3 linked regions of the Ovis aries genome follow. The protein of the gene in region 3 purifies or fractionates together with the protein of the main gene of each other region. This does not show direct contact. Links are inferred from orthologs where the notes say so. Each region holds a gene or a part of one and is shown on either strand. Other genes may lie near its edges.

The links.
Region 1: the proteins of KLC2 (region 3) and KIF5A purify together in Homo sapiens (affinity purification with western blotting; 3 studies listed by BioGRID and IntAct, with this or other methods). This does not show direct contact. The link is inferred for Ovis aries from reciprocal best matches to the Homo sapiens genes KLC2 and KIF5A.
Region 2: the proteins of KLC2 (region 3) and KIF5C purify together in Homo sapiens (affinity purification with western blotting; 3 studies listed by BioGRID and IntAct, with this or other methods). This does not show direct contact. The link is inferred for Ovis aries from reciprocal best matches to the Homo sapiens genes KLC2 and KIF5C.

The regions. Positions count from the first base shown.
Region 1 is NC_056056.1:162,102,653-162,110,686, forward strand, and holds the start of KIF5A (kinesin heavy chain), read right to left. Parts: upstream 5,486-8,034; 5' UTR 5,253-5,485; coding exon 5,124-5,252; intron 1-5,123. UniProt on the Homo sapiens protein: Microtubule-dependent motor required for slow axonal transport of neurofilament proteins (NFH, NFM and NFL). Can induce formation of neurite-like membrane protrusions in non-neuronal cells in a ZFYVE27-dependent manner.
Region 2 is NC_056055.1:160,718,235-160,726,385, forward strand, and holds the start of KIF5C (kinesin heavy chain), read right to left. Parts: upstream 4,040-8,151; 5' UTR 3,649-4,039; coding exon 3,523-3,648; intron 1-3,522. UniProt on the Homo sapiens protein: Microtubule-associated force-producing protein that may play a role in organelle transport. Has ATPase activity. Involved in synaptic transmission. Mediates dendritic trafficking of mRNAs.
Region 3 is NC_056074.1:40,740,659-40,748,619, forward strand, and holds the start of KLC2 (kinesin light chain 2), read left to right. Parts: upstream 1-2,990; 5' UTR 2,991-3,014; coding exon 3,015-3,202; intron 3,203-3,879; coding exon 3,880-4,168; intron 4,169-6,582; coding exon 6,583-6,813; intron 6,814-6,968; coding exon 6,969-7,038; intron 7,039-7,696; coding exon 7,697-7,919; intron 7,920-7,961. UniProt on the Homo sapiens protein: Kinesin is a microtubule-associated force-producing protein that plays a role in organelle transport. The light chain functions in coupling of cargo to the heavy chain or in the modulation of its ATPase activity.

The sequences.
Region 1 (8,034 bases), on a different chromosome or scaffold from region 3:
CTCCTCCATCAGTGATGTCTATCTGTGCTTACTGAAGCCAGGCATGCAGCCAAAGGGGATTAAATATAACTCCCAAGCCAACCTCACTCTTTCCTTCTTCCCTTCTGGGAACCTGGGGATTAATGCTCTAACACTCCCAGCTGCAGGATTCCAGGGGCTGCCCTGGTGGCTCAGATGGTAAAGAATCTGCCCACAATGCAAGAGACCTGGGTTCAGTCCCTGGGTTGGGAAGATCCCCTGAAGAAGGTAAATGGCTACCCACTCCAGTATTCTTGCCTGGAGAATTCCATGGACAGAGGAGCTTGGTGGTCTACAGTCCTTGGGATCAAAAAGAGTCAGACGCGACGGAGTGACTAACACTTTCACTACAGAGGGTGCTGTGGGCGCTTTAAAAGGGAGGGCGCTCTCCAAGTGCTGAAGGCAATTATTGCCTGAGGAACTCATTTTCCTGAGCCTAGGCAGGGAGAGATCAGAGAGAGGATGGGTGGCATTCTTGGAACCACGAGGATAAAAAATATCCAAGAGCTAAAAGTGGATGCACTTAGTAACCTCATGAGCAGAGAAAGCCACGTTTACAATTCTAGGGTTTCTGGGAAGGTCTGCTACCATCTTCCTACGCTTGGTTGGGTCCTTAAGTTTCAAACCTAGTTCATTTCTTCTTCCTAAGACTTTTATATCTGTTAAAGTATGAACGTCCTTTAACTTTCTATTTATTACAGGATGAATTTGTTCTGTCAGATCTTTTTAAAAAATAACTAGACCAGCGGTTATCTACTTTTTTTGCTTCTAGACTATTCACTTGGGAAACGTCACCATTATTTACATCTCTCATGACACACAATTATTCTGAGTCAGACTGTAGTATGTTGTGGGGGATTTCTTATCAGAATCTGGGGAAGCATATGTACAATTAACAAAAGCCATTTCTGATGCCCTCTCCCAGGACTCTGGCCAGGCCACTCCACAGTCTGGACCACCATGTAAACCAAGAGTTTCCTGAAGATAGAGGTTCCCCTCTCAATCCCCAACATCAAGCACAGACCCTGGCCCACAGGAGGCTCTTCATTAATATATCTGTTGAAGAAACACAGATATTGATGGAAGAAGAGAGCAAGAAGATCCTAGGGACCTGAATCTTTGGATGAAACAATCTGTAAGAGGGGAAAATGTTAACCACTTCCCAGTTGTGCCAAAGGTGAGCTGGTGGGGAGACAGCCCATCTAAAATAAAAATAACATCTAACTCTGGTTGGGAGTTTATGATGTGCCTGTCACTATACATTATCTCATTTCATGCTCACAGCAATCCTAGGACGTAGGTACTATTATTATTTTCATATTGCATAGATGTGAAAACTGAAGTTCAGAGAGGTAGGGTAGTGGTAGAAGAAGGTTTCAAACCCAAGCAATCTGATTCCAGACCCACACTGTCAAAGTGATCCCAGAACTGACGTGCCAACACTGCGTCAGAGCTTTATCATGGCTTCCCTTCCCCTCCTCTCTCCATGTGGGCGTTTCTCCAAATACTTCTGGACAGAACTAAAGCCCTTCATCATCCTCTTTTTGCAACCTCAACCCCTTTTTCAGAAGAATGCAGTTCTTCCATCTATCCTCTCCAAGGATGTACTAATCCGTGACTTCAATTAGTCAGGGACTAGAAGACTTGTAAGTTAGGAACACTCAGGGAGACCTTCCACCTTTGAGGAATGCCTCTGAGACCCACTCTCTCTCCCCCCACAGCAGCATAAACCGCCCCTCCAGAGGGCTTCTCTTCAGAGTCCCACAACCCAGGACTCTCTGTTCTCTGACCCACTCCAAGCTTCCCCGTGTGCTGTCCAATTGTGTCTCCCAGCACTTTCTGGTGTTTTCCACAAAGGGTGCTGACTAAAGCTAATGGAAAGGTCTAAGATCAGGGGTCCAGAGATAACCAACCTTTTCAACCTTCACTAAAGCACTTGGTAGAGACTGAACTTGAGAGCACCAGGACTGATTTCCATAGTGACAACCTTGGGGATTGTTGCCATGGCAATGCTAGAGAGACACTGGCCACAGTGAACATCACCTCCCCTCTCTGCTTTCCTTGACGAGACTCCCCCAAGGCTAAGGGGAGAACTGATCGTCTCCATCAGACATCAAAAGAATCCTGGGCCACCTCAAACAATACTGACTATGCTCCAATAATCCTGCAGGCCCCAACCTGGCTTTTCCAAATGAGGTACTTGGTGGCCCTGCTTTATTGCCTCTTTAAGAATCCACTGAGCCATCAGGAAATCTAAGGGAGATAGAATATGGTGGGTACTTGAATGAGGGAGGGAGGGAAGAGGAGACGGAAAGGAAGTGGAGCAGGGGCGGGAGGCAGAGAGGCTATGGATTTCCCTACTGCCATTCTCCTGTGTCTGGTATAGATGCACAGCTCACACTGCCCACCAAGACAGGCAGAGAGACACATAAATGGGTACACTTAAAAAGTCACAGTGGATTCCGAGTGACCCAAAGAGCAAGACAAGGTACACAGCACACATAGACAGTGACCCAGACACCCTTCCACTATGACTCAGGCCATTAACGTGGGCTAAGCCCCATCCCCCAGATTCCAGGGACAAGTCATGGGGTGGGAGGGGGATGAGGCTCACAGAGCTGTCTTCCAAGCTTGTTCTCCTACATTCCGCCAGGCAGAAAAAACCCATGAACATTAGGGACTCTGTAGCCCAGAGCTAGCCGCAGTGCAGAGAGGAGAGCCATCACAGGAGGAGCAGGGGGCTGGGACTGGAGAGAGAGAATAGCCTCTCCCATCTTCAGCCCTCCCAGACATCCTGAAGCAGATTCCTCCATTACCTCCTCACACAGTTCCCACAACGGGCCCCAAAGGGAGCCAGAGGAAGAGAGAGGAAGGAGGGTCGGGGATTTCCTTTCCTTGGTTGGGACCCTCAAGGCACTCCTCACAATCACTTCACTTATGACCCTCATCCTCCTGAACGAGGAATGAATAGAAAGCCTGGGAAGGCAAGCACCGAGGATGCTGCCTGAGACAAAATGGCCCCCCATAAGCACTTATCTTGGCATAAGACACTGACAGGAAGGGCTAGGGCAAGGCAAGACACAGAGCGAGACAAAGGTTCAGCCCTGCAAATATCAGGCAAAACAGATAACGAAGGAACAGCTGTGGAGTAAGATAAAATCTGAATTGGCAGGGGGCCCTGGGCCTGTCTTTCTCTCTCCTCCCTCCCACCTCCACGAGGTCTCTCTATTTAGCTGGGAATGAGACAAATCAACACAACTCCTTCTCCCAACATCGCCCCCTGCCCTGTGTCCACCATGCCAGGATGGGTGCCCCAGAGAGCCTAAGGGAGTTGGTTCAGATAAACCTAAACACCCTAGAGCAAGGAAGTTAGGCTTAAAAGTGGAAGCCTTTTGTGGGTTTGTTCCTCCATAACCACCCTGGTCCTATTTCTCAGCCTTTCTGTCTCAGGGGGCCCTCAAGCTCTAACTCTCGTGGCTAACACCCACTGTCCAGACTATTCAGAAAGGAGGCCCCAAGGGTTGATCCAGGCATTATTTCAGCCTGGCCAGACTGATCAGTCTGCAAGGTCTAAGGTTCCCGAGACAAAGAGAGACAGGGGCCCTCCCTATGTGGCAAGCATACATACATAAGCACATACACAGGGCGAGAGCACCCATTTGAGTCCACAGTGGAGGTGAGAGAGACTGGTGACAGACGAGCCCTTGGGGACAGACCACGTCAGCAAGTCTCTTCCTAAGGCATGTTTACTCAAAGTCCCGTTCTCACTGACTCCGAAGACCCAGGCTCCCTCCTCTTCTTTCCTTCATTCCTTCAACAAGCAAGCCCTGTGCCAAGCACTATGGATCAAAGATACATAAGAAGTGCCCCTGACCTTGAGGATGGCCCTTATATGGGCTCCTCCCTTCTTGAACTGGCTACAGTGTCCTGGCCCAGCACCCCTCAAGTCCTACTCCTTACTGGACTCAACCCCAAATCCTTTCACCCCATAGCCTGACAGTCCCAACCAGCCTAGGAAAGGAGGGGAGGTGAGGAATTCCCTAGGAATCCCTCGGGGGCTACCACAGCTAAAAGTCCAGAACCCAAATCTGTGGAGGTAATGTGATACCGAAGGAAAGATGTGAGCTTTGGAGTGACAGATTTAGGTTCAGATCCATGAATTAACAGTGTGACCTTGAGAAAGTCATTCGACTTCTTTGGGCCTCAATTTCCTCATCTGTAAAGTGGAAATATTGATACCTTCTTCAGAGTGTTGTTTTGAAGATCAAATGATATATGTAGAGTAAAAAGCACAGGAAATACTAGTTCTCCTTCTTAATAGTCTCTTCCAAGGGTAGGGGCTGTCAAGACTAGGTAGAGGAGGTGGCTTGCTACTTTGAATTGGATCATCAAGAGAAACGATGAATAAGCAACTGCTTGATAGGATCTCAGGGTTTGGTTATTTTTGTTAGAGTGAGTTGAGGGGTCTGAAATCCTCTTCCTACCATACCTGGGAGGGAAAGGCAGACATTTCTTTAGGACCTAGAAGATCCCCCTCCCCAAACTGGGTGTGGCACCAATGTATTTCCTACTCTGAAAACCCTTCACTAAACCTGTGCCCTCCAAGTCCAGGCTGTAACTACTTCAGGGGATGATGGAGGCCTTGACCCCAGGGTCCATCCTCACTTGTACCTGGGCAGAGACCCTGGACAACCCACCTCCCATCTAGCCAGTCCACTAGTCTTCCCCCTCCCTTCCTGGGAAGTGAGGGGTAGAGATTCTGAGCCAATAACAAAGGGAAGATGCGCCTTCCCTAGGGAACAGGGAAAACGTCAGAAAAACACGAGACTGGCTCTAGGGGTGGGGACGCTGCAGAAAGCAGCAAAGGGGAATCCGGTCCCCGGATCGCGGGATAGTAGCCCCTTCCCACTCTGCCGAGACTCGGCCGCCGGTCTGGCCAGGCCACACCCAGCCATCCTGATGCAGGGAGAGGAGGGGCTGCGGCTAAAAGGATGGAGGAGGATGAGCGGTGGGGAGAGGGAGCTGAGACAGGCTGGGGGCTGAGGCTCGGCGGGCGTAAAAGATCCTGTCCCCTCTCCGAAATTCCCTCCAGGGGCCGCACTCACCCCAATAACGACGCTGTCGTCCCCTTGGAAAATGGGAATGAACTTGTCCCCCCGCAGAATCTCGGCCTGATTTAGGGGCCGAAATCGGCAGAGCACCTTGATGCTACATTCGTTGTTGGTCTCGGCCATGGTGGTCGCCGGCGTGGGGCTGGGACACTTCGGCTGCAGAGGTCGCGTGTGCTCCGGGAGGAGAGGGGCTCAGCTGAGGCCCAGGCGAAGGACAGGTGCTCTGTCTCTGGGGGTTCAGAAGGCTGAGGCGGGCGCCCGGGCAAAGGCTGAGGAGCAGGGCCGAGGCGCGCTTCCTCTCTCCTGCGGCACCGGGATGCGGGCGACCTGGGCGTCTGGTCCTCTCTCGGCGCTCTGCCTCTCCGCCCCTCGCGCTGCAGCGCCGCGCTGCGGGCCTGGGCGGGGCGGCGACGGAGGAGCGGGGCGGGGCTTCCCTGGCTGGGGGCAGCCGCCCCACGGCGCCCACCGACGGACGGTGGCACCTCTGCTCTCTTCGTGCTTCCTCTCCCCACTCCTGACTCTCGGAGACTAGCGTGTCCTCACCCCTTCCCCACCCAAGTCACTCACTGGGTCCCACCCTCACAACCCTGGCCAGTCTGTCCCTCCCTCGGATTCCAACCCCCTGGAAGGGCTAAGGGATCTGAGGTGGGTCTGTCTTCCCGCCGGAGATAGAGTCAACAGCACTCACACCTCCTTTATTCCAGGGCATCCTTCACCTCCATCACAGTCCTCTCTCCAGATTGGCAGCACACGTCTCCTCCTCTCTTTCCCCACAACCCTCTCAAAGATCCTCAGCTCACTCAAACCTTCAGGGGCAGCTACTTGTATCCCTATGGAGGTGGGTGTCCAGGGTCCATTTTTTAAAGAGTGTCAAGGGAGGTCTGGTTCTTCCCTTCCCCTCCTACATCCAAAAGGACTCTACTCGCTCCCCAACATAGATACTAGGTCCCGACTAAGTCTCCTATTTTGGCCTGTGATCTCCTATTTTGGCCTGTCTGACTCTTGGCGACCCCCTGGACTGTAGCCTGCCAGGTTCCTCTGTCCATGGGGATTCTCCAAGCAAGAATACTGAAGTGTATTGCCATTTCCTTCTCCCCAGCATTTCCCCCACCCAGGGATTGAACCTGAGTCTCCTGCATTGCCAGGCGGATTCTTTACCAGCTGAGCTACCCGGGGTCCTATTTTGGTCTCTCAAAATTCAAAAGCAGGTAATTCGCATTTTTGCCTCATAGTTTGGAGCTGGGATGGTGGTGGTCCAGAGGAATTTTTGCAAGAGGGAGGAAGTCATAAAGCAGTGATGGAGGAGAGATGATGGTGGTGGGTAAGACCAGAGGGGCTTGAAGAAAGGACCTCTAGAGCTGACGTCTGCACTTGGGCTTCAGGCAGGGTTAGGCACCTATGTGAGTATGTTTCCTATCGCAGTACTCTGTTGAACAGTCCCAACACTCCAGCCCCTTTCTCAGGCCTTTCTTCTGTTTCTCCCCTCTCTCTGGCAAAAAAAAAAAAAAGAGAGAGAGAGAGAGAGCCAAGTCTAGAAATTCCATGTCCTTCCTCCCCTCCAGTAGGACTGCTGCTGCAGCCCCTGGGCAGAACCATCTAGAAGCTGGCGGGATTGATTTTTCTCCACGTCACAGGGCCTCTGCTGGCCAACAGAGTTAGACTGCAGGAGTTGAGACTCTAGGCCAGGGGGAGGAGCAGGGTGATGGGAGAAGAAAGGAGGGAGGGAGGTTCTGCCTAGCAATTGTCTGGTGTCTAAGGTCACTTGAGGCAAGGAAGAGACAATGATGGCCTGGCCAAACAAGACCTAACCACTCAGAACACAGCTAAAGGGGTTTCCGAGTTGGACATATACCCTTAACCCACCTTGAATCTTAAGGAAACTGAAGGAAAGAGGTTCACCATAAGAAACTGGATGGCAAGGCAGTAGCACTGTGGAGAGAAAGGCTTGGGGAGGAGCCAGGAGAGTACACATTGAATGACAATGAGTTCTAAACTCAGGAAAACAGGCATCTCTCCAGTCTCTTGGTCTGGCACTATTTCTAATTGTTGCAGCATCCTGCAAGCTCAGGAAATATCCCAACCTTAGGCCCCCAGGGGCTCCAGGATGACATCCTTAGTGAAGGGGTTTCAGAATACTAGTCAATGCAGGGTCTCTGGTCAGACAAAAGTTGACCGTGTATGGATCCCTCCCAGCAAAAAAACACGACACAATGTGAATGCGGTAGTTTTTTCATAAAGCTGGATTTGTTGTTTCAAAGGAATATCTCTTATTCTGAGAGTACTGTATGTCCTTCTGTACTTTTCTACTAAGTAATGATGGTAATAGAGAATAGATTTGGCAAATACTTGCTTGGCAAAATAAAAAAGTAGCAATACTATGCCTATCCTCAGAAAGGTTTGATATTGTTTTAATTGTACTAAACTGTGAAATTCAAAAGTCTGAAAACCATTAGTGAAGGGATTAAGAGCACAGAGGGTGCTACCAAGTGTTTATTAACTTGTGATAGAATTGCCAGATTCAAAAACAGGATGCCTGGTTAAATTTGAATTTCAGATAAAATAGTAAAATGTGTCTATTTTATGTATATGTCCTACATATCCTATGGGACATACTTATACTATAAAGACTATTAGTTGTTTATGTGAAATTCAAATTTAACTAAGAGCTCTGTATTTTATCTGACAGCCCTAACCTGGTTAGTTAACTTTCTCATTCCCAACACGATTAAATCTCTATTAAAGTTACTTATTGTTGTTTCAAAGCCCTGGCTGTGCCTTAGCAAACCTAGTTGTGTTGTTTTTACCCAGTCATTTAATTTCTGGGAGCTTGACATGGCTAGCGGTTAGAGAGCATCACTGACTCAATAGATATGAATGTGAGCAAACTGTGGGAGATAGTGGAGGA
Region 2 (8,151 bases), on a different chromosome or scaffold from region 3:
TGAATCTGCAAGAGTTCACAAGGGAAGAAACTGTGGCTGGGGCAGTCAGGGAAAGAAAGGAGCAGGGGGGAAAAAAAGCAAGAATGATAGAGATAATCTCTTCAAGCTTTACCCCTGGTGGCTCAGGCGGTTAAACATCAGCCTGCAATGTAGGAGACCTGGGTTCCAGCTCTGAGTCAGGAAGATCCCCTGGAGAAGGGTATGGCAACCCACTCCAGTTCTCTTGCCTGGAGAATCCCACGGACACAGGAGCCTGGTGGGCTACAACCCATGGTGTCGCAAAGAGTCAGACACGACTGAGTGACTAAGCACGCACTTCAAGATGACATTTCTTAAAAAAAGAGAAATCTAGGAAGCCCACCTGCAAAATCTTCTCTCAGCATACATCTCCACAAGAAATGAACAAGACTTTAAAGGAAAAACAATCACTCCAGTTTCAAAAACAAACAAGAATTTCTGAGATTCTGAATTTGGACTCACAGTTACCTGCGCAGAAATTCATTCTTCATTCATCTCTGTTGGGCTCTGCGCTTCTTTGGTCCTCCCCACAATCTATGCCCCTGCAAGAAGGAGGGGAGAGCCCATCTAAGAGAGCCTCCACCTGCACCCGAGCCAGGTGGGCTGGTTCCAGCCGAACTGACCTGGGAGCCTTCTACTCAGTCGACAAAGGGTGATACAGGCTTCGAGAACGGTCACTTCCTTTAGTTACACATTACTAAGTAGGAATGAGAAGGGTCCTAGCACATGCCAACTCAAGTCCCAACACCCTTCAGCATCTGGCAGTCTTCTGTTCTGTACCAAACTCACTGACAGATGCATAAAAGAATGTTCATAGCCGCTCCACCTATATTAGCCTCAAAGTGGAAACTACCCAAACTGTTACTACCAACAGTTACTGGATAAATAATTTGTGGCATATTCATATAATAAGATACTACAGAACAATGAGGATGAACCAACTGCAGCCACACATCACAGTGTGGACCAATTTGACAATCATAATGTTGAACATAAGAACTCACACAAAGAGGTGAACATACTGTGTGGTTTTATGGAGCTAAAGCTTAAAAAAAAAAACCTAAAAGTCAGAATAGCAGTTATTCTGAGGCAGAGGGACTTAGTGACTGGGAGGGACTTCTGGGGTCCTGAAAATGTCTGGTTCCTAGCCTAAGAGGTGGTTATAGGAGTGTTTATATAAAAAAAGAAAAGCTATATACACTTATGAAAACACTTTTCTATATGAATGCTTTATTTCAAAGAAAAATTTATCTTAAAGAAAACTGAAAAGTGTTTCATTAAAGGATTATAGTAAGACGAAAAATTTTCAATTTACCCCAGATTTACAGTTGAAGAACTACATGTGTATTCACATCCACAACCATTTGTTTAATATAATTTAGTAGTGTCATAAAATTAAGGAAGGATAACCATAAAATTCAAGATCTCTGCCTTGCATACAGATCAAAGGGAAAATCGATTACTCCACTTCACTAGTTCTGGTATGTCACCCTTAGAAGATGGAGAAAGAAGAGCGTGGAAAGGAAGAAGGTGGAGTAGGAGGGAGAGAAGGAGGAGAAAGAAAAGAAACAGCTTGAGCCTCTCTTTAAAACCTCTGAAAAAATAGGGTCACCAGAACATGTTCTAGGACTGAACAATTATTGGTTAAAAACTGTCACCAGACAAGGGGCAGGGCTAGATGTCCCCAGTAACTCCCACTCTATCCAAACCACAAGCAGGCTCAGGAAACAGCAAATCAGCCTGTAGGGTGACCCCAGCTTAGATGTGTAACCCACAAGCTACTATCCGTCCCATGTCCTGGCCATAGATACATCACTATCCAATGTCAGCCATCAAGTATAGAATTTTCTTCCTCATCAATAATTGTAGCATACATCCTTCCTTCAATTTAACACTAAGCAGATAGAAAACCCCTCCTTCCTGGCCTCACAGGCCAGCTCTCAGGATGAACGACCACCCCCATAGCATTTGGGGGTCACGGTTTTCTGATGACTGTGAAAATGAGGAGGAGAGGAGGTCTTCAAGAGGAGATGCCTTTCTAAGGAAGGTACACGATGAAGCCCTTTGGCAATGCCAGAGCCTTGCCTCTGGTCTCCCGCGGAGAAAGCCTGCCTTCCGCTTCCACCAGCACCTGCTAGTCCCTGGGGCCCTTCACAGGTACTGCGGCACAACCTTGGCAAAGATGCTGGGACTGCTTGGGCAGGCAAATGTCTGCCTCTGGTGCTTAAGAAGGGTCGACCTGACTCCAGCAGAGACCCTAAGTAAATTGTCACCTGTCAATCACTTGACCTAAATACCCCAGCCACTGGGGGAAAATAGGAGGGAGGAGGTAGTCTGAGCATGCTCAGTAATCGGGATGACATCATTTAATCAATGCTGAGGCCGGGAAGGCTGCATCAGCAGCCGCGAGCAGGCTGCCAGGAACGTGTCAGCGGGGATCGGGAGGCTCCCATTAACTCGGTCCCTCCCCACGCGACTCGCATACAAAGAGGGTACCGTTAGCTACACACGCTGGGGACAGAGGAGGGGGAAGGGTGGGGGTGGGGGCAGGGAAAGCTGGCTTATTTCATTTGACATATTCCTTTAAGAACTAAAACCCAACGGTATTCCCTCCCAGCACCAGCAGCCGCGCTGCAGAAATGGAGCCAAGTCTGGGGAGGGGAAACTTGGGAAGGGAGATCAAAAGCGAGGGGGCCCCAGCCACACAAAGTAACTTGTTCTTTGGGTACAGAGGCTATTTGGCTCCGTTTGGGACCCCTGGTCCTACAGATGCGGGCGGGTGCACAGCCTCCTCACCGTCCAGCATGAAACACACCCGAGGGTCTGCGGACACCAGGTGGGGGTCGCCCCACCGGGAAGAGTTAGACTCGAGGTCCAAGTCAGGACAGCCTGGGTTGAGAGGAAGCAAGAGGAGACATACGAAGCCTCCGGGAGAGGCCACCAGTGTTCCCCCAGCCCCCGCCTTCCGCGTGCAGAGCAAGGTGAAACGCCGCGGGGAGCCAATTCGACACGGCTGTTGGAGCTCGGTGCAGAAGCTAGGATTTTTCCAGTAGCTTTTTTCCTTCTTTTACCAAAACTGTGAGAAGAGGCAAAGTGCTCGATAAATCGAAACGATCCCTGGTATCATTTGTGGGCTACAGAGCTCATACTTTAAGAGGAGTCTGAGCTTGAGGATAACGCGAACACACTACCCACGCGACGTGGCCAGGGCGGGGAACAATAGACCCACCCGGGCCCCCACCCCAATAACAATGGCGGCGCCGAACCCTTGCTCGCCCCCTACCCCCACCCCCGCCACCTGGGGCCGCCCCGAGGCCTCCAGTCGACCCTCAACTCGCCCAGGAGGGAACTGCAGGGTGGGGGATTCTCGTCAAGTCCACCCTAGAGGGCAGCCCCCAAGGGATGTCCAAATGGGCTGCCAAAGCATCTCTGCCCGGCCTGGGGCATTGGGGCGCCGGGCTGGGGCGCGAAGCATCAGGGAGGCCAGACTTCCCAGCCACTTACCCCGATCACCACGGTCTCCTCGCCTTTAAATTTGGGGATGAATTTGTCCCCGCGGAGGATCTCTGCTTCGTTTAGTGGCCGGAACCGGCACATCACTTTGATGCTGCATTCGGCTGGATCCGCCATCTCGGCCGGCGGCAGGGAGGGGGCGCAAGGATGGGTGGGGGGCCGCGGTTCGGCACAACGAGGGAAAGTGGTTGAGAACCGCACCGCCCGCAACAAGGCCGCCTCCCTCAGCCTAGACGACGCTTCTCAGCAGGTCATCGCGAACTCGGCTGGCTGGGCAGCTCCGGCCGCTCCGACACCTTGTAGGTGGGCAGCCTATTAACCTTTGGCCCAGCCGGCTGCAGACCTGCCTTTCCTGGCCCTGCGCTGCGCCCCAGGCCCACCTGCCCACGACCACGCGGCGGGCGGACGAGGCGATGCGCAGGGAGCCAGCCTCTCCCTACTCAGACCTCCCGGGCTCCTGCGAGCTCAGCCATCCTGCATCAGCACCAGCGCGCTCGGTCGCCTCCCCGACCCGCCCCTTCGCCCCGCCCTGCCTCGGCACAGCCCTGGTCGGTTACGTCACTGCGGGGATCCGCCCCGCCCTCGCTCAGGCTCCGAGAGCGAAGCATCCTGGGACTTGTAGTCGCTGCACCTGCGGGTGAAAAGACTTGGATGCTTGGAGTTGGCTTTCGGGAATAGCGGCGGTGCCTAGGGTGACGCATCCGACAACCTGCAGATCTTGGGTGGCTGCCCAAGTCAATAAAACGACGGATGTCGCATCCAATATTCCCGGTTAAAATCTCTATAACTAACAAGGTCTATATTATCTCCTTACATCTTTTCATGATCCCACAGGAAAGTCCCCTCTTAAGACCGTGTCCAACTAAACAGTTATGGAGCATTTTCTTTGTGCTCAACAGTTATTAAGCGTTGTGAGGAAATTAGAAGGGAAATGAGATTTGCATGGATATTTGAAGCCAGTAATTCCTGAAAAAGCTTGTTCATACATTTTTTGGGTCAGGAACTCCGTTAATATGTGATGAAAGTTAGGGACCTTTCCCATAACGGAAACAAAGACAAATAAACCCGTACACACCCACAGATTTTTTTCACGCTATTTCAGAGGGTCACTCTTGCTTGGAAAATCCCATAAATGGAGGAGCCTGGTAGGCTGCAATCCATGGGGTCGCTAAGAGTTGGATACGACTGAGCTTCTTCACTTTCACTTTTCACTTTCATGCGTTGGAGAAGGAAATGGCAACCCACTCCAGTGTTCTTGCCTGGAGAATCCCAGGGACGGGGGAGCCTGGTGGGCTGCCATCTATGGGGTCGCACAGAGTCGGACACGACTGAAGTGACGCAGCAGCAGGGACAATCGAACCCTGCCTTTAACACCCAGGTTAAGAAATTCTTAATTACTAGTATTTATTGTATAGTTTTGGAGCAGGAAATGGCAACCCACTCCAGTACTCTTGCCTGCAGAATCCCATGGACAGAGGAGCTTGGCAGGCTCCAGTTCATGGGCTGGCAAAGAGTCGGACACAACTAAGCAATTAACACAAACGTTGTATAGCTTACAGACCCTCTCCCTAACACCTGTTTATAATCCTGTAGAATGAACAGATATATTATCAAGTCCAAAGTTCTTTGCAAACTACATCCAGGTCCCGCGATCAGATTTCTGTCTACTTATTAGCCTCATCTCTTACTGCTTCTTGTCTTGACATTTACACTCTGATAAACACCAAGCTACTTGTGGCTTCTTCTATTTAAATTTACCTCTTGCTCTGCTTGCTTCTTGTACTTTGTTTAAGCATTGACTCTCTGGAAGTCAAGCATTCATGCCCATTAGTAAGTATGTACAGCAGGGCTCTTGCCATGGAAGGTGATAGAAATCCACCCAGAGCCACTAAGTCTAAAGGAGAACTTGGGACTTCCCTGGTCCAGTGGTTAAGATTCAGTGTTTCCACTGCAGAGGGCATGCATTCCATCCCTGGGTCAGGAAGATCCCCTGGAGAAGGGCATGGAAACCCACTCTAATGTTCTTGCCTGGAGAATACCATGGACAGAGGAGCTTGGTAGGCTATGTCCTTGGGGTCGAAAAGAGTCGGAAAAGACTTAGCAACTGAACACACACAGACAATGTAGGTTTTAGATCACTATAGTGATAATCCTCTTGAAAATTATAAATGTATCAAATTAATAGGCTATATACCTTAAACTCGAGCTTCCCTGGTGGCTCAGTGGTAAAGAATCTGCCTACAGTGCAGGAGATCTGTGTTCAAGTCCTGGGTTGGGAATTTCCCCTTGAGAAGGGAATGGCAACCCACTCCAGTAGTCTTGCCTGGAGAATTCCATGGACAGAGGAGCCTGGAGGGGCTATAGTCCATAGGGTGGCACAGAGTTGGACATGACTGAAATGACTAAGCAACAGCAGCAGATATGCTAAACTTACACAACATTATAAGTCAATTATGTTGCAGTAAAGCTGGAGAAACAAATTAGTAATAGATTTCCCCAGGGGAAGTAGTAAAAGGTAGGGGGAGGCACTGAGGTCACTGGTAAATTCCCTGACATCCATCCCACGCATCCCTACTGAGAAGCTAGAACACACTGTGGACAAATGTCCCCAACTCTGCGCATGGCTTGTGTTCACTTCAGTTCAGTCGCTCAGTCGTGTCCGACTCTTTGTGACCCCATGAACCGCAGCATGCCAGGCCGCCCTGTCCATCACCAACTCCCGGAGTTCACTCAGACTCACATCCATCGAGTCAGTGATGCCATCCAGCCATCTCATCCTCGGTCGTCCCCTTCTCCTCCTGCCCCCAATCCCTCCCAGCATCAAAGTCTTTTCCAATGAGTCAGCTCTTCGCATGAGGTGGCCAAAGTATTGAAGTTTCAGCTTTAGCATCATTCCTTCCAAAGAAATCCCAGGGCTGATCTCCTTCAGAATGGACTGGTTGGATCTCCTTGCAGTCCAAGGGACTCTCAAGAGTCTTCTCCAACACCACGGTTCAAAAGCATCAATTCTTCGGCGCTCAGCCTTCTTCACAGTCCAACTCTCACATCCATACATGACCACAGGAAAACCACAGCCTTGACTAGACGGACCTTAGGGGGCAAAGTAATGTCTCTGCTTAACAGTGGAAACAGTGTCAGACTTTATTTTTGGGGGCTCCAAAATCACTGCAGATGGTGATTGCAGCCATGAAATTAAGAGACGCTTACTCCTTGGAAGGAAATTATGACCAACCTAGATAGCATATTCAAAAGCAGGGATATTACTTTGCCAACTAAGGTCCGTCTAGTCAAGGCTATGGTTTTTCCTGTGGTCATGTATGGATGTGAGAGTTGGACTGTGAAGAAGGCTGAGCGCCGAAGAATTGATGCTTTTGAACTGTGGTGTTGGAGAAGACTCTAGAGAGTCCCTTGGACTGCAAGGAGATCCAACCAGTCCATTCTGAAGGAGATCAGCCCTGGGATTTCTTTGGAAGGAATGACGCTAAAGCTGAAACTCCAGTACTTTGGCCACCTCATGAGAAGAGTTGACTCATTGGAAAAGACTCTGATGCTGGGAGGGATAGGGGCAGGAGGAGAAGGGACAACAGAAGATGAGATGGCTGGATGGCATCATGGACTCAATGGACGTGAGTCTGAGTGAACTCCGGGAGTTGGTGATGGACAGGGAGGCCTGGCGTGCTGCGATTCATGGGGTTGCAAAGAGTCGGACACAACTAAGCGACTGAACTGAACCGAACTGAACTGATCTAGGTTGGTCATAACTTTTCTTCCAAAGAGTAACCGTCTTTCAATTTCATGGCTGCAATCACCATCTGCAGTGATTTTGGAGCCGAGAAAAATAAAGTCTGACACTGTTTCCACTCTTTCCCCTTCTATTTCCCATGGAGTGATGGGACCGGATGCCATGATCTTCATTTTCTGAATGTTGAGCTTTAAGCTAACTTTTTCACTCTCTTCTTTTACTTTCATCAAGAGGCTTTTAGTTCCTCTTCACTTTCTGCCATAAGGGTGGTGTCATCTGCATATCTAAGGTTACTGATATTTCTCCTGGCAATCTTGATTCCAGCTTGTGTTTCTTCCAGCCCAGAGTTTCTCATGATGTACTCTGCATAGAAGTTAAATAAGCAGGGTGACAATATACAACCTTGACGTACTCCTTTTCCTATTTGGAACCAGTCTGTTGTTCCATGTCCAGTTCTAACTGTTGCTTCCTGGCCTGCATACAGATTTCTCAGCAGGCAGGTCAGGTGGTCTGGTATTCCCATCTCTTTCAGAATTTTCCACAGTTTATTGTGATCCACACAGTCAAAGGCTTTGGCATAGTCAATAAAGCAGAAATAGATGTTTTTCTGGAACTGTCTTGCTTTTTCCATGATCCAGCTGATGTTGGCAATTTGATCTCTGGTTCCTCTGCCTTTTCTAAAACCAGCTTGAACATCAGGAAGTTCACGGTTCACGTATGGCTTTGGTTAGTCTCATTAAAATCCCATACTCCGGGATGGGCAGGATGAAGCCAAGAAGATAGAAGAAAAGTTTGCCACATTTTTGGAAAGACATTCTATTTCCTAAAACTTCTCTCCCTGTCTGGAGGATAACATTCCACATTCAATTGCTACTGAA
Region 3 (7,961 bases):
TTCACTTTCACTTGTGACCTCTTAGTTGCTCCATGTGAGATCTAGTTCTCTGACCAGGGATCGAACCTGGGCCCCCTGTATTGCGAGGCCAGAGTCTTAGCCACTGGACCACCAGGGAAGTCCTGAGGCTGTGTGTTGAAGGTGTATGAGCCTGTGCTTCATGTGTCTATGAACAGGCAATGTGACCTTGGTTCTCTTGACCCCTACAGTGTTGGGTCAGTCTCCTTTACACACTGGGACAAAATGACCAGACTCTGGATTAGAAAAGGGCACAGTGGTCAGCTGGTGCAGCTGCTGTCCCCTCTCAGGGCCTCACTTTCCTTATCTGTAAAACAAAGATGTATAAGGAGTGCCTTTCAGCCCAGGGTGCATGTCATGGGCACTGCTGAAGTTTCATAATAATAAGAGATATTCATGACCAGCCCTGGCACCACTGAATCTCAGTCTCTAGAAGGAACTTCTGGAACAAAGTTCCCTCCCAAGAGTTACTGAAACCCAGCCTTGTTAAGACCCCTGAGAGTCTCGTGGACAGCAAGGAGATCAAACCAGTCAATCCTAAAGGAAATGAATCCGGAATATTCATTGGGAGGACTGATGCTGAAGCTGAAGTTCCAATACTTTGGCCACCTGATGTGAAAAGCTGACTCACTGGAAAAGACGCTGATGTTGGGAAAGACTGAGGGCAGGAGGAGAAGAGGGCAGCGGAGGATGAGATGGTTGGATGGTATCATTGACTCAGTGGACATGAGTTTGAGCAAACTCCAGGAGGTAGTGAAGGACAGGGAAGCCTGCCGTGCTGCAGTCCATGGGGTTGTAAAGAGATGGACACGAATGGGCGACTGAACATCAACAACAAAGCCTTGATAAGAACAGCAAAGTTGCCCTGGGCTCTGGATCCCATTTCCTCCCTGTGAATTTGCCAGCCAGCTGGGAGTACAGCCATGGTCTGATGGGAGTCTCTCTGCAGAGAGGCAGGCTTGTCACACCACAGCCAGTGCGACCCCGGGAGGTAGGGTCGATGTGCTGGCTAAAGACTCTGAATGCAAAAGACACCAACCTGCAGGGCCCTGGAGGAAAACTGACCCTACGAAACCCACAAGGATAAACACAAGCTCTGCACTGAGGCAAACCACGCAATCAATGGACACAAGAAACATAACAGCGGGTGCTCCTGGGGAGGGGACCTGCAAGACTTGCAGGTGGTCAGTGAGAGAGTCACGTTTCATTGCATCTTGTACCTGCCTTTCGAATGTCACATCATCTGAATGTATCAATTCCCTTTAAAAATCTCTGGGGGGAAATCACTCACTGAAGCACAGGATGGGGGAGAAGAACCTGGCTGGCTAAAACCAGGATGCGTGCAATCTAGGGTTTTAATTGACGAGCTCACCCTGAACAGACACGGTCCAGCGGCTGTCGAAGCCAGCCTGACTTTCAGCTTCACGGTGGACAGGTGGTGCGCTCCTTGGGAGTGGACTGGCCCTCTGCTCTCTTCACATCTCCCTCCCGGTCTGGATGCCTACGCCCTGGACTGAGTCCCATATTCTGAGCAGTGTCTGGATGGACATGCTAAGCCACATCCAGAAAAAGAGATATCCAGAGGGGAGAGGGGGGAGGAGAGGGTGAAGGGTCCTGGATTGTCTGGCCAGGCACCGGAACATCTTTTTGGCAAAAGGGAGCAGCTGTCCTTCCTTTGGGCAGAGCTTCAGTTTGGTGTGGGCAGCAGTGTCCACAGTGACTGTGGAAGGAAAACCTTGCTGACCTTTAGAGCTCACTGCAGACTGTACTGACCTTCCTGCCACCGAACATACTTAAGCTGGGAGGCATCAGGACATCTGCCAGAGATGATGCTCACAGGGTTTATCCATCAGGACACTGAACCTGGTAGAGTCTGAGCGCCCCCCACTCAAGAGGAACACCCTAGATGCCTGGGTACCAGTGCCAGGCGTTGCTGGGCAGGTACTGTCTCTCAGAGGGAACTCTTCTAGAGATGGCGACCTAAAAGCAGTGGAGGCAAGGCCAGGGTGGCCAGCAACGCAGGGCTGCAGAGTGCCAGGCCTAAACCTGGGCCAACAGGTGCGCCCTTCTTAAAAACTAACATTCACTGAGTGTTGCCATGTGGTGGCCAGGAGTTTCTCTGGGAATGAACAAGACATGCAGATCTTGCCTGATGGGTGCATGAGATGGGCTGGAGGGCTGCTCTACATAAGGGTGCGGGGAATCAGGGGAGGGCTCTCTGAGATGACGTCGCACCTGAGCCCTGAATGACATCACCTTGTCCTGATCGTCCAGTCCACAGCATTCGTGGTGGTGCTCACCCACAGGGTCAAGAGTGTTTCTGCCAATGCCCGGCTGCCCCTTGTCACCTTTTTCTCTTTCATGGCCGGAAGCCTCTGTTCCTTCCTCCCAAGAAGCAGCCCTAAGATGCCGGGAACCACCTCATGGGACAAGGAAAGCTCCAAAGGAATTGGGTGGGGCATAACCACCGATTAGAGACAAATGAGTGTAGGGTTATTACCTGTGACACTGGGATAATAGCAGTGCCCACTTTATTCGGTCTTTGTAAGCGTTAAATGCACTTAAGGCATCCAAGCGCGCGGCACTCAGTAAGCGCTCAGAAAGTGGCACTCCGCCTCATTCCATGCCAATAAATGTCAAATGTCCCGATCTGGACTCTGAGGAGGCCGAGACTTCTCCCTGGGCCTCCGGGCCTCAGTTTCTCCCGCCGTCCTCTCTGGCCGCAGAATAAGGTACGTTCAGGTACACATCCTCCCCAGCCAGTCCACACTCCCGCGGTCTCGGGGCTGGTTACAACGGAGGACTACGAGGCCGCAGGAGCTTGGGAGGTGGCGTCGGCGGCGGCGGCGGCAGCGGGGACACTAGCGGGTCTAGCCCACGCCCCACGCCTCGGTGACCACGCCCCGTCGCCAACAGCTACGCCCCCTGCCCCTCCCCCTGGCCTGGAGTGGGCCCCGCAGGCGTGCTCCTTTAAGGCAGCCTGCCGGCCTAAAGGAATGTTTCGCCCCCTCCGACGCCGCCAAGGTGCCGGCTTCACCTTTAAGGCAGCGCAGGGACTGCTGGGAAGGCCGGCGGGATGGAGGCGGCGGGACCAGCTCACGGCGGCTGGTCCGGGTGAAGCGGCACCGGAGCCGGAGCCGGAGCCGGAGCCGGAGCGCGAGGCGGGCCTGAGCGGGAGACTGAGGTCCGCGCGGGCCGATCGGGCTGGGGGAAGGGAGCTCGGGGTCGGCCTTAGGGGAGGGGTTGTCTGGGGCGCGGCTCGTGAGAGGACCAGGCCGGCCCGCGGGGAGGGGGCGCGGTTCTGGATGACCGGGGTCGGGAGCTTTCAGGGGAGGAGGGGTCCGCAGGATGTCATGCTGGCCTACGGGGAGGGGTCGTCGTGGGCGCGGCCTGGGGGGGAGGGGACGAGGAACCCCGCGATCTCAGCTCCTTAGCGGGAGCGTCTTCCCAGGGTCGGCCTCCCCAGGAGGAGGGCTCTGTGGCTCGGCCTGCCTGTTGGGGAGGGGGCGCTGTCCGAGGGAGCTGGGACCGGATCTCTGAGAGGGGCTGGTGTCTCCGCACGGGAGTAAACCCCTCACTATCCCAGTAGGATCGTCCTCTGGCGCCTCCTGTTCTAAGGGAGCCTCTGGGGAAGCCCCGAGACCGGGTTGCCTAAGCCGGCCTTGAGCCAGTGGTCTGGGCCGAATCCGGGTCCAGCCTCGCGGGTCGCACCGCATTGCGTCTCCCGGGCCGAGACGAGCAGAGCGCGCCCCCTGTAGGCCGAGCGCGAGCACGGTGCGGGCTGCTATCTGGGGGACCGGGCTCCCGGGGGACCCAGGCGTCCGGGGGGCCCTAGGTGTTTACCTAATCTGGGGCGGACAGCGGCTTGGCCCCAGGCCCGGCACCCCCTGCCCGCCCTCTCGCCTTCACAGGAGGTACAGCCATGGCCACGATGGTGCTTCCTCGGGAGGAGAAGCTGAGCCAGGATGAGATCGTGTTGGGCACCAAGGCCGTCATCCAAGGGCTAGAGACCCTGCGCGGGGAGCATCGTGCCCTTCTCGCTCCCCTGGTCGCTCATGAAGCTAGTGAGGCAGAGCCGGGCTCACAGGAGCGCTGTGTCCTCCTGCGCCGTTCCCTCGAGGCCATCGAGCTGGGGCTGGGCGAGGCCCAGGTAGGCTGGTCCGGGGTGCTGAGGAGGGAGGTCACGGGAGGGATGGAGCCTTGCAGAGGAATCCTGGCAGTGTAGTAACAGAATCAGCATGGAAGGAAGAATCTGTGCCTTGGAGCCTTATGGTAGGATCTGGTAGATATCTATTGAAAAAATGGATGGGTTGAGCCCAGGAGGGCTGATTATCTGACTTCTCTGCTACCTAGCAGAGACTGCATGGCCTAGGGAAACAAAAAGGAAGTCCTTAAGGACCCCTCCCCTCATTTATTCTTTTATTCATTTGTTAACAGGTAAGTTATCAAGTGCCTACTGTGTGCCAGGAAATGTGTTAGGTGCCAGGGATACAGGTCCAACAAGACAGACAAGATCCCTGCCAAGTCTAGTAAGAGAAGAGTCAGAAACACATATATTTATTCAACGTTACGGTGAGTTCTCAAAAAAAAGGTATGGCAGGAGGTCTCATCTATTGGTCAAGCTACACTTCTGAAGGAATGACATTTAAATCAAGATCTGAGTGACAGAACAAAAAAGGAGAATGAGAGATTGTGTGTGCAAAGGTCCTGTGGTAGAAAAGATCTCGTGGTGGGAGAACTGAGAGAAGACTTGTCTGACTGAAGCTTCATGAGGAAAGAGAGGGGCAGAAGAGGTCTATGGAGAAGACAGGGGCCTTATTAGTCTGGGTTTTATTCTTAGGAAGTCAAGAAGCCTTTGGAGGGTTTAAGCAGTCACAGCACATGGCCTGGCTTAGGCTTTAAAAAACTCTCTGGCTGAGGTGTGGAGAGTGAATGAGGATGGGTCAGGGTAGAAGGAGGTAGCAGGTGTTAGGAAGCCACTACTGGAATTCAAATGAGAAATGGCAACTTGGAGTAAAGGGGTGGCCATGAAGCTAGTAAGAAGGGGGTGAGTTCTAGACATTCTGGAGGTAGGTTGAGCAGGGCCTGGGGATGGACTAAAGGAGAGGGAGAAGGTCTGTGGTTTGAGCAAATTAAGAGGAGGGGACTTCCCTGGTGTTCCAGCGGTTAAGAGTCTGCACTCTCAGTGCAGGGGGCGTGGGTTCAATCTCTGGTCGAGGAACTAAGATCCCACGCGCTGTGTGCAGCAGCCAAGAGATAAAAAATATAAAAATAAATAAGTTTTTTAAAAAAAGGAGAAGAGAGTGTGATGGATCAGGAGTTCTGTTTGGGTCCTCTTAAGGAGCTGGGGCTGCTAGGATGACATGCAGATGGAGATATCTGGGAGGCACTGGGGTGCACGAGGAGTTAGACTCTTGGGAAAAGAGTCTTGGCCCACTCAGATCCTGGCTGAGACACTGCCTGGCTCCGTGAGCCCTGGGCAGGTGGTATTATCTTGGTTTCCTTGTTTTTAAAAGAAGGATCACACCATATGCTGTATATATGTCCAGGCTGTTTAGGGAATTTGAAAACACGTGTCACTTGGGTGTTTGCTCATCAACTAGAAAGCACATGGTTCTAGACTGCCCAGCCCTCTGGAAGGGCAATGTGTTGGTCATTCACTCCTTGGCCAGTTGACTGCTAGGTACAGAGATGAACATACCGGGGCACCTTCCCAGGGCAGGTACAGGTGGGCAACAGAATGGTGTGTGGGGGGGTGGGTGAGATACCCTGCTTTCCTGGGGCCGAGAGCATAAGAGGGAAGAGGCTTCACTGCAGAAATGACTCTGACCATGAGGAATGGAGAAAGGGTAGCACCTAGCAAGGCCTCAAGGCAGGAAGAGCCTGGAAGCTCAGGAAAGGAGTCAGGGAGTTGGGGAAGAGGGATGGGAGCTGAGGCCCCTGCATCCCCTTCCCTGCCTCTCTGGTTCCCCAGAAAACCAGGGGTTTAGGACACATACTCCTCTCCCTGGGAGCTGCAGGTGGCCCCTGGGCAGAAGTCAGGATGGGGTCTCTTGGTATCCTTTCAGCCATCTCTCAGGAATCTTTGGAAAAGTGCTAGCCCTGGGCCAGGGGCAGTGGTTTAGTGGCTCTGGCTACAGGGCTTGAGTACAACTCCTCAGAGAGACAGGAAGAGAGCGGCCAGCTTGGAGAACGGGCAGCACCCCAGTCAGCGCTCTTCATGATCAGAACAACTGGACGTCTATGCGGAGGGCTAGCTGGAGGCCCCAGGAAAGGGGATGATGGGTTCTTTCAGAGTCTAGCAGAGCCAGCCTGGGAGCCCAGGGGTCCCTACTGCAAAAGGAAGGAGCTGGGGATCCCCAAGCCTCCTGGGTTCAGGTCTCAGGCTGTGTGTGGTCTGTTTGGGGCCCTGGGGCAAAACTCTGTCAATGAGAGAACTTGGGACCCTCAGGCTGGCAGCTCCTCCAGGCCTGGCTCTTTTCTGGGCCCCAGGAGGCCCAGGCTGGGCATGGTGTGGGGGCGGGTGGATAGGGCTTTGACCTCCATTCTGGCTGTCTGCCACAGGTGATCTTGGCGCTCTCAAGCCATCTGGGGGCCGTGGAGTCGGAGAAGCAGAAACTGCGGGCCCAGGTGCGGCGCTTGGTGCAGGAGAACCAGTGGCTGCGCGAGGAGCTGGCGGGGACGCAGCAGAAGCTGCAGCGCAGCGAGCAGGCCGTGGCCCAGCTCGAAGAGGAGAAGCAGCACTTGCTGTTCATGAGCCAGATCCGCAAGTTGGATGAGGACACCCCCCCCAACGTAAGCCCCGGTGTAGCCATTGCAAGGCCACTGCGGGGGGTGGGGGGCAGGTCCAGGACCAGGGGAGGTGCCAGGGAACAAGCGCAGTTCCCACCCAGCCTGCTGACCCCTGGGCTGCCCACATTCCCTGACGCTCATCCTGTCTCCCTCCCCAGGAGGACAAGGGGGATGTCCCCAAAGACTCTCTGGATGACCTGTTCCCCAGCGAGGAGGAGCAGAACCCAGGTGCAGAGGGGCGGCTGGCTTTGGGGGTGGGAAAAGAAGACTGGGTGAACCAGTCCCTGGGACCCAGAGGTCACAGGAAACGAGGTCTGACTGAGTGACCACCAGGTGCTTCCCTGCCTCGTTTCTGATCATAACATCCCAGCATGAGCACTTAAAAGGCTGGCTTTACCTGTTGCTTCTCTCATCCCCTCAAGTTCCGTGAGGAGCAGGCATCACAATTCAGAGCCCTGGAGCCGCCCGGCCTGGGTGCGAGCCCTGACTTGCACTCTTTGGTCTGTGACCGCTGGTAGAGTTTCTTTTCTTCTCCGAGCCTCCCCCGAGGGTTAAAGGAGGACGCACGCGCAGCACTGAACCCCAGGCTGGAGCCCCGGGCCAGTGCTGGCCTTGCTCATGTTTCCTGTGCCAATCAGAGCCTCCCTTCTGCAGATGAGGTGGCGGCCGCTCCTCTCGGGAGCGAGGCGGCTTGCTCTGGGCCACATGGCTTGAAGTACCAGAGCTGGGCCTCCACCCTCTCTTTCTGTGGCTTGCCTGGACCCTCTCTATAGATGCGGAAAGTGAGAGAGGGTGACAGTGACTTGCCCAGGGCCACGGGTGTGATCAGTCAAAGCTGCCCCCCAGCTCAGGGGGTACATCTGGCCTCCCCTCCTTGGCTTTGCAGCCCCCAGCCCTGGAGGAGGCGATGTGGCCGCCCAGCACGGGGGCTATGAAATCCCGGCCCGGCTGCGCACCCTGCACAACCTGGTGATCCAGTACGCCTCCCAGGGCCGTTATGAGGTGGCCGTGCCCCTCTGCAAGCAGGCCCTGGAGGACCTGGAGAAGACATCGGGCCACGACCACCCGGACGTGGCCACCATGCTGAACATCCTGGCGCTGGTCTACCGGTGAGGCACCCCCCCGACCACGGTCACCTGTGGGAGCACTCT